Linked DNA regions of Rattus norvegicus. The protein of the gene in region 3 purifies or fractionates together with the protein of the main gene of each other region. This does not show direct contact. Links are inferred from orthologs where the notes say so. Each region holds a gene or a part of one and is shown on either strand. Other genes may lie near its edges.

What was found. Proteins that work in one complex are often made in the same cells at the same time.
Region 1: the proteins of Dis3l (region 3) and Exosc2 purify together in Homo sapiens (affinity purification with mass spectrometry; 5 studies listed by BioGRID and IntAct, with this or other methods). This does not show direct contact. The link is inferred for Rattus norvegicus from reciprocal best matches to the Homo sapiens genes DIS3L and EXOSC2.
Region 2: the proteins of Dis3l (region 3) and Exosc6 purify together in Homo sapiens (affinity purification with mass spectrometry; 3 studies listed by BioGRID and IntAct, with this or other methods). This does not show direct contact. The link is inferred for Rattus norvegicus from reciprocal best matches to the Homo sapiens genes DIS3L and EXOSC6.
Region 4: the proteins of Dis3l (region 3) and Exosc4 purify together in Homo sapiens (affinity purification with mass spectrometry; 5 studies listed by BioGRID and IntAct, with this or other methods). This does not show direct contact. The link is inferred for Rattus norvegicus from reciprocal best matches to the Homo sapiens genes DIS3L and EXOSC4.

Annotation. Positions count from the first base shown.
Region 1 is NC_086021.1:35,359,259-35,363,465, reverse strand, and holds the start of Exosc2 (exosome complex component RRP4), read right to left. Parts: upstream 2,801-4,207; 5' UTR 2,781-2,800; coding exon 2,659-2,780; intron 1,426-2,658; coding exon 1,324-1,425; exon of another isoform or gene 1,312-1,323; intron 1-1,311. UniProt on the Homo sapiens protein: Non-catalytic component of the RNA exosome complex which has 3'->5' exoribonuclease activity and participates in a multitude of cellular RNA processing and degradation events.
Region 2 is NC_086037.1:55,930,370-55,933,437, reverse strand, and holds Exosc6 (exosome complex component MTR3), read right to left. Parts: upstream 1,916-3,068; 5' UTR 1,884-1,915; coding exon 1,065-1,883; 3' UTR 501-1,064; downstream 1-500. UniProt on the Homo sapiens protein: Non-catalytic component of the RNA exosome complex which has 3'->5' exoribonuclease activity and participates in a multitude of cellular RNA processing and degradation events.
Region 3 is NC_086026.1:73,708,028-73,711,527, forward strand, and holds part of Dis3l (DIS3-like exonuclease 1), read right to left. Parts: intron 938-3,500; coding exon 690-937; intron 183-689; coding exon 90-182; intron 1-89. UniProt on the Homo sapiens protein: Catalytic component of the RNA exosome complex which has 3'->5' exoribonuclease activity and participates in a multitude of cellular RNA processing and degradation events.
Region 4 is NC_086025.1:109,927,293-109,931,290, reverse strand, and holds Exosc4 (exosome complex component RRP41), read right to left. Parts: upstream 2,801-3,998; 5' UTR 2,763-2,800; coding exon 2,592-2,762; intron 1,055-2,591; coding exon 848-1,054; intron 748-847; coding exon 388-747; 3' UTR 58-387; downstream 1-57. UniProt on the Homo sapiens protein: Non-catalytic component of the RNA exosome complex which has 3'->5' exoribonuclease activity and participates in a multitude of cellular RNA processing and degradation events.

The DNA.
Region 1 (4,207 bases), on a different chromosome or scaffold from region 3:
CATGCTTAGGCAGAAACCTTGATGCCTGTCACACTCTGGGATAAGCACAGCACAGACCCTGCTGAAGGCACCTCCAAATGTGTGAGGGAAACAAAGACATCCAGACTGGAAACGGGGAACTAAAAATATCTCTATTCCTTCTGTTAGCTTTCCTTAAACACATCAGTTACTGCAACAGCCTTTCAAAGGACACTCTGAAAGCAAGGCATACAGAGGACATAGCCACTGCTGAGGGCCATGCCTGCCATCACTCGGTCATTTCTCAGATGAATACAGTTCCCCAGCCCAGCTCCCTAAACATGCCCTGTCCCCCTTCACTGTCTCCATGGCAACCACAGCAAGTGATGAAGACGTAGGTCAGATCACAGCTCTCTTGCTCTCTTCTGCTTGATCCCTTCCAAGGGCTTCCCAATTGGTACAGTACGAAGCCCAAGTCCTCACTGTCATTGCCAGGCAGGGTGACCACTTGGCTGCCACAGCTCCGGCTTGCCTGACTAATCAGTCCCAGGCTCATTGCTTCCCTTCTGGACGCACCTTTATGGGCTTCTTCTAGGTCCTGGGCCCTGTGTGTAAGTACTTTACTGTAGCAGGTCACTGAATTCCGAATGAACAATCCTGAGTTGGTTACTTTCTTTATGATGTGGAAAAGGAAAGCCCAACGCATGGAGGGATCAAGTGACGTGAGGAAACCTTTGAAGCTCACACCTTCTGTAGTGTCCTAGTTTGCTTTCTGTTGCTGTGATAAATACCACAACCAAAAGCAACTCGAGAAGGAAAGGGTTTATTAGGCCTACAGATTACACTCCATCACGGAGGAGTGCCAGGCAGGAACCTGGAGGCCAGAACTGAGGCAGAGTCTGTGGAGGAACACTACTGGCTGGTTTGCTTCCCAGACTCAGGTTTTTGTTCTCCCCCCCCCCCCACACACACACACAGAGCTGCCCTGGAACTCACAGAGAGCTGCCTGCCTCTGCCTCACAAGTACTAGGATAAAAGGCCTGCAGCACAGTGCCCATCCTTCCACACCCCAGGCCCACTGGTCCAGGGGTGACACTGCCTATATCAATTACCAATGAAGAAAATGCTCCCACAGACATGCCCACAAGCTAATCTGATGGAGACAATTCTTAGCTTTAGGTTTCCGCTCCCAAGGTAACTCCAGCTTTGTGTCAAGTTGGCTGCCGGCACTAACTGTGACAAACAGGCACATTCAACCTAGCAGGCGTGTGACAGGAATGATCCTAGATGACATGGGGAGACGACGGAGAAGGCCTGTGTACAACCCAGATGCTCCGAGAATGACATACACACCTCTGTCCTCACCTGGTTTTCAAGGCTTTGACACAGATCAGCTTGTTCACTCTCTCCACAGAGCCGGCCACTGACGCAATGAGCTTTTCCTCCCCCATGTATGTTCCATGGCCCCTGTGCAAGGACAAGACCACAAAGAAAGGATAGCAGTGTTACACTGGAGGTAACATGGGAGCATCTAGAACATGGTTCTTGAACCTAACAGGCTCCCCCTGCCTCCACAGAGCCATGTGGACATCCCCATCTTAAAAAGTGTGCTCGAGGGGCTGGGGATTTAGCTCAGTGGTAGAGCGCTTACCTAGGAAGCGCAAGGCCCTGGGTTCGGTCCCCAGCTCCGAAAAAAAAGAACAAAGAAAAAAAAAAAAAAAAGTGTGCTCGAATGTCACTTTCCAACAACAGAACTGCACATCCCAGGCAACACAGGGATCCCCACTGGTCCACCCCATTGCCAACTACACCCCTCTTCTCCCCCTTCGTCTGCATTTACGACGTTCTTGTGGCATTTACTGTTATTGTTCCTTGCTAGATGATAAACCCCGCCTTTGGTACCCCAACCACAGGGACTATGTTGAACTTATGCTGCAAGTATGAAGAAATGAATCCTAAGATACCTGTCATCTAATACTTTAAACATAAAGTCTAGAGGCAATGCTATAAACACCATAATCTCATTTGTACCAGAAAGAAAAAACAACCAGGTTTTTTCAGGCCACTGCTGAAATTTTGCTTCCTGCCCCCACTTTTCAGTTGCTTAATACTCCCGATTCTACCAATTCCTGTTGTCACCACCGTCTTCCAGGTGAGGGTACCGGCCTTAGCTAGGTGCTACAGCTAAGGAGAGCACGACTCCAGAGCAGGCCCAAAGTACCACAAGTTCCGATAGCCTGCTAAGTTTGTATTATTGGGTGCATCTATGCACAGTATGTACTGAATGCTTACCTCAACCCCCACCCCACGAAAATCACTGCTTCAAAGTCAGGCTCGTCGCTGAGGTAACACTGAAAGAAACGACCAAGCCAGCAACCCACTGTCTCTTCAGAGGGTTGTAAGAAGGGTCCTGCTCCCAGCCCTCCCCAGGAAAGCTCAAAAATCTTGAGTTTCAGGATAAGGGTTCAAAAGTTCCTGACACCATAGATTAAAGGAGAAATCAGGAACTGACAGAGGAGCACCCAAGATGCAGGAAGTCAGAAGCATGAGGCTCGGAAAGGAGGATGCTCTGAGGTGTCCCAGGTATTCGGTGACTTAGATACAAGGGGACAGGAGGCCTGGGTTCCCGGGCAGCGGGCCACGTGCAGAGAGCTCTGCAGCCGTCTCCTGAGGCCTTGGGACCCCCAAATCCTCACGTACCGCATGAAGCCTGTATCCGTGGTGATCGTGTCCCCTGGCACTACCAAATGTTTTTTAGAATCGCGGCCCAAGCTCTCACTGAGAGGTTTGCGAGCCCTAGGGAGCCTCATCTCCAACGCCATCTTGGCGCCAATGACTTGCGCAGGCGCAGCTCCACACAGTCGCCTCAATTCCCGCCCACCTTCAGAGAAGCGACCAATGGAATGTATAGTGTGGCGGCCATGTTGACTATTGGCAACTATTAAGTTAACTCGAAGAAAAGAGGGTACCAAGCTGCCATGTTTACTATTGGCAAGAAAGCACCCGCGGAAAGACGTTGTAAGGGAATATGACTTGTAAGGGAATTGGTTTGGTTTGGCGTTTGTATTTGAGAAAAGGTCCCGTGTATGGCTGGACACAAACTGTACAGTTGAGAATAACCCTGCTGAACTCCAGAGATTCATGCCTCCACCTCCCAAACGCTCCGATTACATGAGTTTGAGTAGGTTGTGGTTTTGGTGGTGGTGCGAATGGTGCTTTTCGCATCTGATTGGTTTGTTGTTTTATGTGTATAAGCGTTTTTCCTGCGTTTGTCTCCGTACACTCCAGTGTCTGATGCCCACAGAGGCCAAAAGAGGTTGTTGGAGCACCTGGAACTGGAATTACAGATGTTTGTGATCCGCCATGTGGGTGCTGGGAATCGAAACCAAGTCCTCTGGAAATGCAGCCAGTGCTCTCCACCTCTGAACCCAGCCCAGGTGTAAAATTTTTTTTTTTTTAAGTTTTTTTTTTCTTTTTTCTTTTTTTTCGGAGCTGGGGACCGAACCCAGGGCCTTGTGCTTGCTAGGCAAGCGCTCTACCACTGAGCTAAATCCCCAGCCCCGTGTAAAATTTTTTAAAGATAGTGTCTCATGTCATCCAGGTTGGTCTCAAACTGGCTGTGTAACCCAGGATGCCCTTGAACTCCTCTTCCTCTATCTCCCAAGAGCTGGGATTACAGGCGTAAACCGCCATGCTCAGTTGTATGAGTTTTTACCCAAACTATCCAATTTCATCATTTTATTTATTGTTGGTCAAGTCTAGAGATTGAGAAGTGAACCTTGAGTTTGCCATCCAACTCTAAACCACTATCTGAGCAGAAGATAGTGAATACTGTTCCTAGGGGGCCTTGTATTCTACAGTGGAGTTGACCCTTAGGTGCTGGTCTGGATCCTCACCTAGTGCTCCTATGGCTTTAGTGTGCTTTAGTAAAGACCTCTTCTGAAAGACGACTGTTGTAAAAGCCAGCCACAGGTGACGAGCAAATCCGTAGTGAGATACAAATGTAACTTTTATTCTCCTGTTGCAGTTGTTGCCTTTGTCTGCTATCCTAGGTCTAGTTCTGGAAGTTTCTAGCCTCTGTACGATCTTATCTAGGTCTAGACTGTTTTCAGCCTCTCTCTCTCTGAATTACTGCTGAATAAACTCACCCCTTCCCAATTCTTTCAGATCTCTGGCTGGCTGGTTCAACTCAGCTGTTTTGGCTCAAACACCTTTCCCAGCTGACTTATAAGATCTGTCTTTTCTCTCG
Region 2 (3,068 bases), on a different chromosome or scaffold from region 3:
TCCTCCACTTCAGCCTGTGAAGAACAGGATAAGTCCCTATACTGGTCAGTCAGGCCTGCTCTGCCTTAATAGCCAGGCTGTAAATGATACCACAGTATTAGGCGGTCTGCATTTTAGTAGACCATTGCTGCCCAGACCCTTGTTCCCAGGAGCCAAGCCTGGACAGGCACCAGGATGGGACCCGGCTTCTTTCCAGAGCATAATCCTTTTCAGTTACCTAACTCCTAGACATGGTTTTGTCCTAAAGGAAAGGACAGGGGTGCATCCAGGCTTCTCCTTTGAACTCTCCCCAGACTTTTCCAGACGGGAGTTTCTCTGTGTAGCTCTGGCTGTCCTGAAATCTGCTCAGTCTTATCCCCTCGGCAGCTGCCCTAGACAATGCTCCCGGGGCAGCTGGTTTCTCCTCCAAAGCACATAACCCTTTCTTTCTTACAGCGGGCTAACAGGAATACTTAAGGCAGTAATGACTTGGACCCTTGACAACACACAATCAACACACACCCATTTCTGAACAGCATTGTTTTTAACTCAAGAAAAATCACAACACATGTTATTTCCAGGCATAAAAATGTTTTTATGTTTTACTTCGAGTAGTGAGAAGGCAAAGTCCCCTTGTCCATCCTCTCAAAAGAAAAGAATTGGGGTTGGGGATTTAGCTCAGTGGTAGAGTGCTTGCCTAGCAAGCGCAAGGCCCTGGGTTCGGTCCCCAACTCAGAAAAAAAAAAAAAAAAAAAAAAAAGAATTATATTGGAGCTGCCGGCTGGCCTGCACAGGGTCCATCCCTTACAAGGCCATAGCCCCAGGTCTCATTTACTAAGTAAATCCAGCCCAAGTCCTTTCCAACTTAGGAATATGGCTGCTTTCAAATTTCTCCAACTGGATCGTGTTTCCAACGGCCTTTTAAACTTCTTTCCAACGCAGCTGTGCAGAGCTTTGGTTCTGTGCGCACCACTCCCCCACTCTCCTGTCTCAGCTCAGCGAAATCGGGCAACCATCAGCGCTGGTCCTTTTGGGAGAAAAGGGCGATAGCAGTCCTCCGCATCCTCGTCGCTCAAGTTTTCCAATCAGGGCGGGGCGGCGGCACCCCTCCGGCGGGCAGCCCTCACCAAGCACTGCTGCAACACCGGGTAGAGGCGCTGGCAGCCTTCCAGGCCCAGGCGCACCGCATCGGTCCAACTCTCAGTCTGGCCGCCTTCCCCACTGCCCAATAACCCGGCCACCTGATTGAGCACGGGCATGAGCGCCACCGTGAGGCCGGCCTCAGAATGCTCCTCCTCCAGTCGCGTGGGGTCCAGCAGCCAAGTCGGGGAGGGCCCCGGTGTGAGGCTCAAGCCGCAGCCCACTACCAGATCGTACATCTCCACTCCCGCGTCGGCCAGGGCGAGCGCAGCAGCGGTGAGGGCCGCGGCCAGCGCAGAGCCGCCGTCCTCCAGCAGCAGCGCGGACACCTCGAGTTGAGCACGAGGGTAGCGTCCTAAGCGCACAGCGGGCTCCAGAGCCTCCTGCAGAGCCAGACCCAGCTCACGATCCTCGCTGCTGCCCTGGGGCGCGCGACGCCGGCGACCGGAGAAGGGCGCGCGACGGAAATCGCAGAGCAAGCGACCCCGGAGAGCAGCCGGAGCTTCACCGCCCGCTCCGGCGGGACCGCCGCCGCGCTCACCGCCCTCGGCCTGCCGCGGACCGGACACGGCGCACAGCACCTTGGTACCTCCCGCTTCCAGGTAGGCTGAGCCCTTAGCCTGGCTCAGCAGCCCTGCGCGGGCGTACACCGGTCGTAGGCGCGTCGGGTCGCGAGCAGCGGGCGTCTCGTCTTCTTCGGCCGCGTACAGCTGCGGCGGCTGGGACTCCTCTGGCCCTCGGATGCGGCGGTGGTCTCCCGGCATGGCGGCTACCGGCGTACGAGCTACTTCCGCCTGCCAGGATGCCTTGCGCACCGGCTCTTCCGCTCGCTTAAAGATACGCGCCCGCGCGGAGCCTATCGGGAGAGCGGTAGGTTTCCGCATTGCCACCTAGCGGAATGGAGGAAGAACGGCGAGGTATTGGCTGGACCTGTGGTTCCATAGGACCTGATCTACTGTCATTCCTTGAATTTTGCATTCAGATTGTTTTATATAAGCTTGCCCTAGGTAAGAACTTTTTGTTCGGGCTGAAGAGATGGCTCAGCGGTTAAGAGCACTGACTGCTCTTCCAGAGGTCCTGAGTTCAATTCAGCAACCACATGGTGGCTCACAACCATCTGTAATGAGATCTGATGCCCTCTTCTGTGTGTCTGAGTACAGGATACTCATGTACATGAAATAAATAAATTAATTAAAAAAAAAAAAGAACTTTTTGTTCATTCCTGTAGTTAGTCCCCTGGCTTGCTTCAACACTTGTTTAATAAATGGACGTTATCTCTCTTCCTACAACTGAATAATAATTCTAACACTCTGAGATCTGTCATAAGCAAGCAGTATCTCAGCTTCCAGACCCTGCTGTTTGTAGATTCATATAAATTGCATTTTAGGGCCGAGCCAGGGTCTTGAACCTATTTCAGGTTAAAGAAGCAGGGATGGGGCAGTTACTAGAAGACATCTCTACATTCATACCTCCTACATTAGTTGTCTGACCTCATATCAGCAGCTTCAAGGGGAGGCACGTTGAACACACATGATGAAAGCCATTATGAGGTTGTCCCAAGAGACTAAGAATGGTGCTTCTTCATGTGAAGCAATTCAGAAGAATTTTCCTCCACCCCTTTTACTGAATGCCTCAATTTCAGCCCACCCATTCTGCCTCTAGCTCTGCTCTCCCAGGGGCCGTTCCTCAAGTTCAGGAGTCTGAGGCTGTACTCTGTGATAACATCAATCAGAAACCAGCCAGAACCACACACAGCCTGTATTCTGCATGTATAGGGAGCTGAGGTCAACCTCAGGAGAAAGGAGAGCGTGGTATCATCTAGTATTGCACATGGTCCTTTATTTTCTGCAGTGGAAGGCTTCCTTCCCACTTGCAGACCTAGAAGCCTCAGGTTGGCAGAGTGACCTCATCTAGACGTGATCAGGATGTTAGGTAGCATTCCTGGGTAG
Region 3 (3,500 bases):
GGGAGGGCGCTCCCAAGGCAGTGGGCAGGGTGTGGGTGGAGGGAGAGCACACTGAAGGCAGACAGCTCTGAAGGTGAAATCAGACTCACCGGTCAACGCCTCCCAGGAGGGAGCAGAGGTCTGCGCTGAGGATGGAAGGCAGCATGTCGTAGCGGCGGTCGGCTAGGTAGTAAGTGGTGGCCCTGGAATGACACATGACGTAACTGACCTTCAGCAGCCAGAGGAACTGCTGACAGCGTGGGCTGTAGGAGGTAAACAGCTGAGAGCACAGTTGGGCTCCCCTGGGGCTACTGCTCTTCATAAAGCAGAGCCTCTGCGTAATGAAATGGCTCCCGTGTGCCCACTTGACCAAGTCACACTGCTTTGGCTGAATATTCCTCCACTGATGTAGAAAGTAAAAGTGACATGAATCTTGGTTGTATGAGAAAAACGGTAGCATAATGATCTAGATCTATACAAAATACTGTATTACATGTGAAAATTTACTCATTTTAACTTTGGAGGAAACAAACGATGGGTAAAAGGTTAAGAAAGGACGCAAACTAATCAAGGTACTATTTTCCTGAAGGTGGGGACTTCAGGAAAGCCCAGAAGAGATTTTCAGAGCTGCACAAATGAGAGATTGGGAGCATCTGAAACTAACAGGGATACAAACTCTCAGCGCCAATACTGCCTTCCAATAGGGTTACCTCGTTCTAGCTTCAACATCGATGTAAGAGTTGGGGGCCACAAAGTGGGTGACATCAGCTATGTGGACCCCGAGCTCCAGGTTGCCGTTATTCAAGGTTCTGACTGAGAGCGCGTCATCCACGTCCTCACAACCTTTAGGGTCGATGCTGAACACAAGGTGGGTGCTCCTCAGGTCCCTCCGCTCCTGCTCTTCTTTGGGACTCACTTTCCAAGGGTTTTCTGCTGTGTTCACTGGCATCTCACACATCTGCATCGCAGACAAATATTCAGAAACACACAAGGTTCTGTAAAAACCCATTCTCTTCAGAGGGGCTGGAGAGATGGCTCAGTGGTTAAGAGCAATGACTACTCTTCCAGAGGACCCAGGTTCAATTTTCAACAGCCACATGGTGGCCCAAAACTGTCTGTAACCCTAGTCCCTGGGGTTCCTATATCTTCTTCTGGCCTCTTCAGACAGCAGGCATTCATGAAGACACCATCTATCTTGTTTCTAAGACAGAGTCGTTGTACACTAGCCTGGAATGTTCCAGTGATGCCAGATTGGATGGTCATCAAACCCTTAGTTTCTCTTTCTGTCTCCTTTCCCAGAATTAGGACTATTACGAGTGTGTGTCACTGTTCCCAGATTTGTAAGTGGGTTCTGGTTGGAACTCAGATCCTCGTGATTGCATAGTAGGTGCTTTACTAAGTATCTTCCCTGCCTCATTTGCCTTCCTTGATTGGTAAGTGTTCATTAGGTGCCTCGCAGGTGTCAGACACTGGGCTGGGCTCTGGGAAGTCAGGAGTCAGCAGTCTGCTAGGTGATATCCTGTGACTTCTGACAGCCCCGTCAGCTGGGGGCCAGAGCAAGAAGGAACAGGTAAAACTGATGCACTGCATCCTGTTTCCATGTGAGCTGAGAGTTGAGCTTTTAACTCAAGTCAAGCCCTGGGGAGAAAAAAAATCTACACAATCCCCCCAAATAAACGTTATTTCTTAAAGATAATTTAAACAAGACTAATCTGGGACATTTTCCCTCTATGATTGCCTATTTAAACTATCAATCTGAAGCTAAGTAGGCTACAGGGGAGAGAACTGTAGGCCTGGGAAGTCTAGTTCCCACCTCACTGTAGTCTAACATTTTCACTAAGACGTGCTAAGCACGCCAACAAATAATTTTCAGAAACTAATGTTAAACATAAAAATTTAATTATGTAAAATATTCTAAATTTAATAATGTAAAATAGTTTACAATCTTTTCTTATTGTGACTCCTGTTCTGTCAGAAGCTATAATGAAAATAGGAACACCCAAGCGCTCTTAATGGTAATTCACATTGGGCAGCATATTTCTGGAAAACTATCTGCCAATACAGAACAAACCTATTTAAATTTTTTATGCCCTTTGGCTTGGTAATTTAACTTTAAGGGTGACATTCCAAGTGGATGATCAAAAAGAATAAAAAAAGCAACATTGATTAAAAAAAATGTTTCAAGTAACATTTTTTCTTAATACTGAAAAATTAAACACTACTAATGTCCAAAAACTGAGAAATGTTTAAGCAAACTAGGGTGGATTAATTTCAGTAATTTGTCTTAACTACTAAATCTAAGTAGGCTATGTCAATACATAGAAGCCATTTTAAGTGGAAAGGGCGAATGGGACGTAAGTGCACACGACGGCTACGACCCCGAGAGAGCAATAAAGGAGATTTACGGGGCTGAGAGCGACCTCCGTGATGGAGTCACTGGTGTTTTATGTTCACTGAACTGTGTTCTCTGTAAAGGTTCAGAGACCATCTCATGATGAGCCTGACTTTTTGACCCACCCATCTCTAGTTGGGGCAGAGCTTGGCTGGGTCTGTAGAGAAGACATGCAGGATGGGTGTGATGGTGCACGCCTTCAATCCCGCAGAGGCAAGCGGATCTCTGTGACTTCCAGACCAGCCAGGGCTACATAACAATATAAAACATTGAGGAAGGAGAAGGGGGAGGAGGAGGAAGAAGAGGAAGAGGAGGAGGGGGAGGAGGAGGATATGGAGGAGGGGGAGGAGGGAGAGGAAGAGGAGGAGGAGGAGGGGGAGGAAGAGGAAGAGGAAGAGGAGGAGGAAGAGGAGGGGGGAGGAAGAGGAGGAAGGGGGAGGAGGAGGGGGAGGAGGAAGAGGGGAGGAGGAGGGGGGGAGGAGGGAGAGGAAGAGGAGGAGGAGGAGGAAGAGGAGGGGGGAAAGGGGGAAGAGGAAGAGGGGAGGAGGAAGAGGGAAGGGCTGATAATGGATGCCTAGGGCTAGGCGTGGGAACTGACTTCAAGCCCATGACATGTCATTTTAAGCACAGCTGGAAAATATAAAAATTTGGGAGCTGTGAGGCTGTAAGAAGCTCAAGTCTATACTTGGAATTGATTTTAATTTAGTCGGTGCGTTGGTGCACAGTATGTCATCTTTTCAGGGATGGGGAGAAACCTCAGTGAATACAGGTTCCCTACACAAAGGAGGACCCCGTTTGCTCCCACATGAAAAGCTGGGAGCATGGGACACCTGTAATCCCCGGGCTGAGGAGTGAATCTGGAGGATCTGTGACGTTGCCCCCAGCCTTACTGATTTAGTGAGTTGTACATTCAATGAGAGATTCTGTCTCAAAACATGAGGTGGAGCGGCTGGAGAGATAGCTCAGCAGTTAAGGGCATTCAATTTCCTGAGGACCCAAGTTTGATTTCCAGCACCCATGTGAGCTTACAACGGCCAGATCCAGGGGATCCAACATCCTGTTCTGGCTACCCATGTGGATATGCACACATAGACATATACATACATACAAAAATAAAAATAAGTAAGGT
Region 4 (3,998 bases), on a different chromosome or scaffold from region 3:
CCCTCCCTGCTCAACCCTTGCTAAGTAAGGCAATCGCTATGCTGGAGACCCCCGTTCCCTGCTCAAACTAGTATAAAAACCTTGCCTAAATGAGGTTCAAGGTCTCAGCACAAATCTGATGCTTGGAGGATTCTGAGGGTCCAAGCTTAAGTGTGAATAAAGGCTTTGCTTTTGCATACAAATCCAGACCCCTGGTGGTCTTTGTGGACCCTGATATCTGGGCAGGCACAGCATGAGCACTCTTGCTCTTCCTAGCACAAGTGTTCTCTCCACTTAGGGACTGCAGTACAAACTGCTATGTAGGGCCCTGAGCTGCTTTGAAGTGCTGTACATTACAGTGTGTTCAGGAGAGGAACAGGCCTTTATTCTGGATATGGGGGGTTGGCCTCAGTCCCCCAGTAAGATAGAGGCCTCCTGCACATGCTGCCGGACAACACGATCCAGCAGAGTGTGCACATCCCGGGCTGCCTGGGCAGCAGCCTCGAGCACCTGCTCCAAGTGGTCTTCATGCAACCTCGAATCCATCTCAAGCAGTGCAATCTGGCCAGAGGCTGGCAGCAGGGCCAGGGCTAGCTGGGGCCCGCCAGCTGCTTCCTCCACGTGACTGAGGTCCGCTAGTGCTGTGCCATCCACAAAACCAGCCGAACATGCACACACAAAGTCCCGCATGGGTATCCCAGCATCCATCACTGCTAGCGTGGCTGCATTCACACATGCTGCATAGGTCCCACCGTCTGCTTGTAGCACCTGCAGGGGGCATCAGGACATCAGACATCTCATCCTCCAGCATCTCAGGCAGACCTCATCCCCTTAAGCCCCGCCCCCGGGGGAGTGGTTTGAGGCTCACCTGCACATAAATGTCTATCTGAGAACGTGGGTGCAGCTGTGTGAGGATAGCTGCCTCGAAGGTCTGGCGTAGCTGCAGCCCCATCTCACAAGACTTCCGGTCTCCATGAGGCCTTCGCTTGCGCTCACCTGTGCTGAAGGTTGCTGAACTGTACTGACAGTTCACTAGAGCCCGGTCAGGCAGAGCCCGTGACCGGGAGCCCCGGATCTGGAGGAAAAAAGAAGGAATGAGCCAGGGCCGCCTACCTCCTGGGTCACACTCGATGGCTCAGCCTTCCTCCTCTTCTTTCTAAAGTGCTTCAGAAAGCAGCAGCTACTTTGGTTCCAAACCATGGCAGGCGGTTTAGGGCTACACTTCGGTCTAAGCCGCACCACTGTCACCTTCCGCAAAAAAAACCCCTTTGTTCTTTAGTTGCTCCATTTCTTCCTAAATCATTCCCATCGTGGTCACCATGTTTACAAACATGTGATTTGACTGTGTCACCCACACACTAATATTTTACTTACCTTCCAGAAGCTTCTCATTACATGTAAAAGAAAATCTCAATTTCCCCGACCTTCAAAGCCCTGGGTCCTCATCTCCTTGGTTAACCACTCAACTTTATTTGATCTACTGTCCCTCGGTCTACCAGTAGTCTGGCCTAATGTGTTCTAGACCTGACCTGGCTTCCACCTAGAAAGCTGAGCAAATTGCTAGCAAACCTTAAAATGTGGGCTCATTGGTTAAGAGCACTGACTGCTCTTCCAGAGGTCCTGAGTTCAAATCCCAGCGACCACATGGTGGCTCACAACCATCTGTAATGGGATCTGATGCCATTCTGGTGTGTCTAAAAGACAGTGACAGTGTACTTATATATAATAAACAAATAACAAACAAACAAAAAAACCCTTAAAATGTGCATGTTTGCCGGCCTTGCTACACCACTGAGACAAAGCAGCAAAGGCAGGCAATTTATAATGTCTCTGTCTTGGGAGTTTACATTCCAGTAGAGAGACAAGAGACATGGAAGACTGAGGAAAATCGATGTAGCAGGGGCAGAAATAGCCTGGGAGGCCTTTTCCGGACAAGATGTCAAAACACTGGACTGAAAGAACAGGGACTGAGTGTAGCTTTGCCAGGATGTATGAGGCACCTCAGAGATGAAGAGGGCAGCCCAGGAGAAAAGAGGCCCACTGAGACGGAGGAGTTAAGCAGTAAGACTCATGTCCACTCCCACGATGTGCAGCCATGAGCCCCCAGTCCCTGCATGAGACAATCATAGTAGTTGTGGACAATCTGAAGCAGCCCCATATCCCACCCGTGGGATTAAAACAAAAACATAATCACATAACATAACTGGGTTCTTAAAGAAACCAATATTCTCAGTTCATCATGGGACCTAATACTTATACAAATTTGAGGGCCATGTTAGGGATGCAATTCCCCGAGAGGACTCAGAACTCGGGGTATAATTATATTCATGGCTTAGTGGATGTAACACAAAGGAAGGATTGAAATGGAAGTTAACCAAGGGAAAGAGCTCGTGAGGTGAAATCAGAAGAAGCCAGGTCCTCGCAGATGCACGCACATCATTTCCCCTACAACACGGTGGGACAACGTGTGTTGAGATGCTTTCTGCCAGGGAGGACCCCAGAAATTCAAAGATGGGATTTTAGTATACTGCTGCATAGGTAGAGGAGTTAAGCTGTAAGGTCTACTTCCTCGTCGTGCGGCCACGAGCCCCCAATCCCTGCCGCTTACTCGCCTCGTGAGGCCCGTAGACCACCGCCAGTGCCTTGGTGTTGCCCTGCTCGATATAAGCCGAGCCATCGGCCTGCGCAAACACGCCCATCCGCGCCTGAATCTTGCGCAGCTCCCCCGCGCGGCGACCGTCTATCCGGTAACCCTGATCGGACAGGAGCTCCAGCCCGGCCATGTTGCGCAGTCCTCGCTCCGCCTCCGAGAGCACGACCCCTTAGATGACCTGGGCTTCCGCGACTACGACTTCCGCCGGTCCGTTTCCTTTTCAGTCTCGGAGAGCTATAACTTCCGGTAAACTAGTCCCTTTCCGGTGCAAGGCTCGTAGCTTCCCCGGCCTGCTGAATGTACGAGTCACGTCGTTCGGTTCCGGGAAATCAAAGGCCCGAGCCGAGCTGGTTTTTGCAGCTTCTCCTCGGTTGTTGAAGTAGGTACGCCTTGAAGACAAACTTCTCTTTCCGGACGTCCTCGGTTTGTCGGAGGCGCTGGTCCCAGCGGAGACTATTTTTTTTTGGCCCTTTAAAAAACTGTATATCTATTTTTATTGTACGAATGTATTGAACAAGCATACCTGCTTGTATGTCTTTTCGTCACGTGTGTGCTCAGTGCTGCGGAGGTTAGAAGGGGGCAGCCACTGTGAGTGCTGGAATCTGGTCCTTCTCTTTTTTTCGTCTTTCGTCCGTGTGGTTTTTACAGTGGTCAGTTTAGCCAAGCACAATTTTTTGTTCCACATACACGTGATTATTATCTTTGTGGCTCAGTATTAGTTTAGTTTTTCTTTTTTCTTTTTCATTTGCTTGGTTAAATCCATAAGTTTCCCTCCCTTACCTTGGCCAGTAAGTTTTCTCTATAGCCTGGATGCAAGCACAAAGCGCCTGCGGTTGTCTATATGCACCTGTATAGTAGGTTTTGGAGTTCTGATTATTTTTAAAGATTCGGTCACTTAGTATACATTTGGGAGTGTTTTCACTCAGAATATGAAATACATAGTCCTGAGATTTTGTTGTGTTTGTTGGTGATGGGCCCTTTTTTGCTGTTGTTTGGTTTGCTTGTTTTTGGAGACAGGGTTTCTTTTTGTAGCCTTTGTTGTCCTGGAACTCCTTCTGTAAACCATGCTGGCCTTGAGATCACAGATCTGCCTATCTCTGCCCAGAGTGCTGGGATCTGAGGCATGTGCGATATCACCTGGTTGCTGTTGCTTTTTGAAAATCTTGATATGTATTTCAGGTTGGCCTCAAACTAGCAATCTTCCTACCAGAGCCTCCCTAGTGCTCTTATAATGATTATAGGTGGGACCGTGACACCTAGCTTGGAGGTATATTTTTATTGTTTGCTTCATACCTGTGGGGTAGATAGAGCAGATTATAGTCCCACTGAGTCCTCTTTAACAACCCTGTGTATTGTAGGAGCAGAT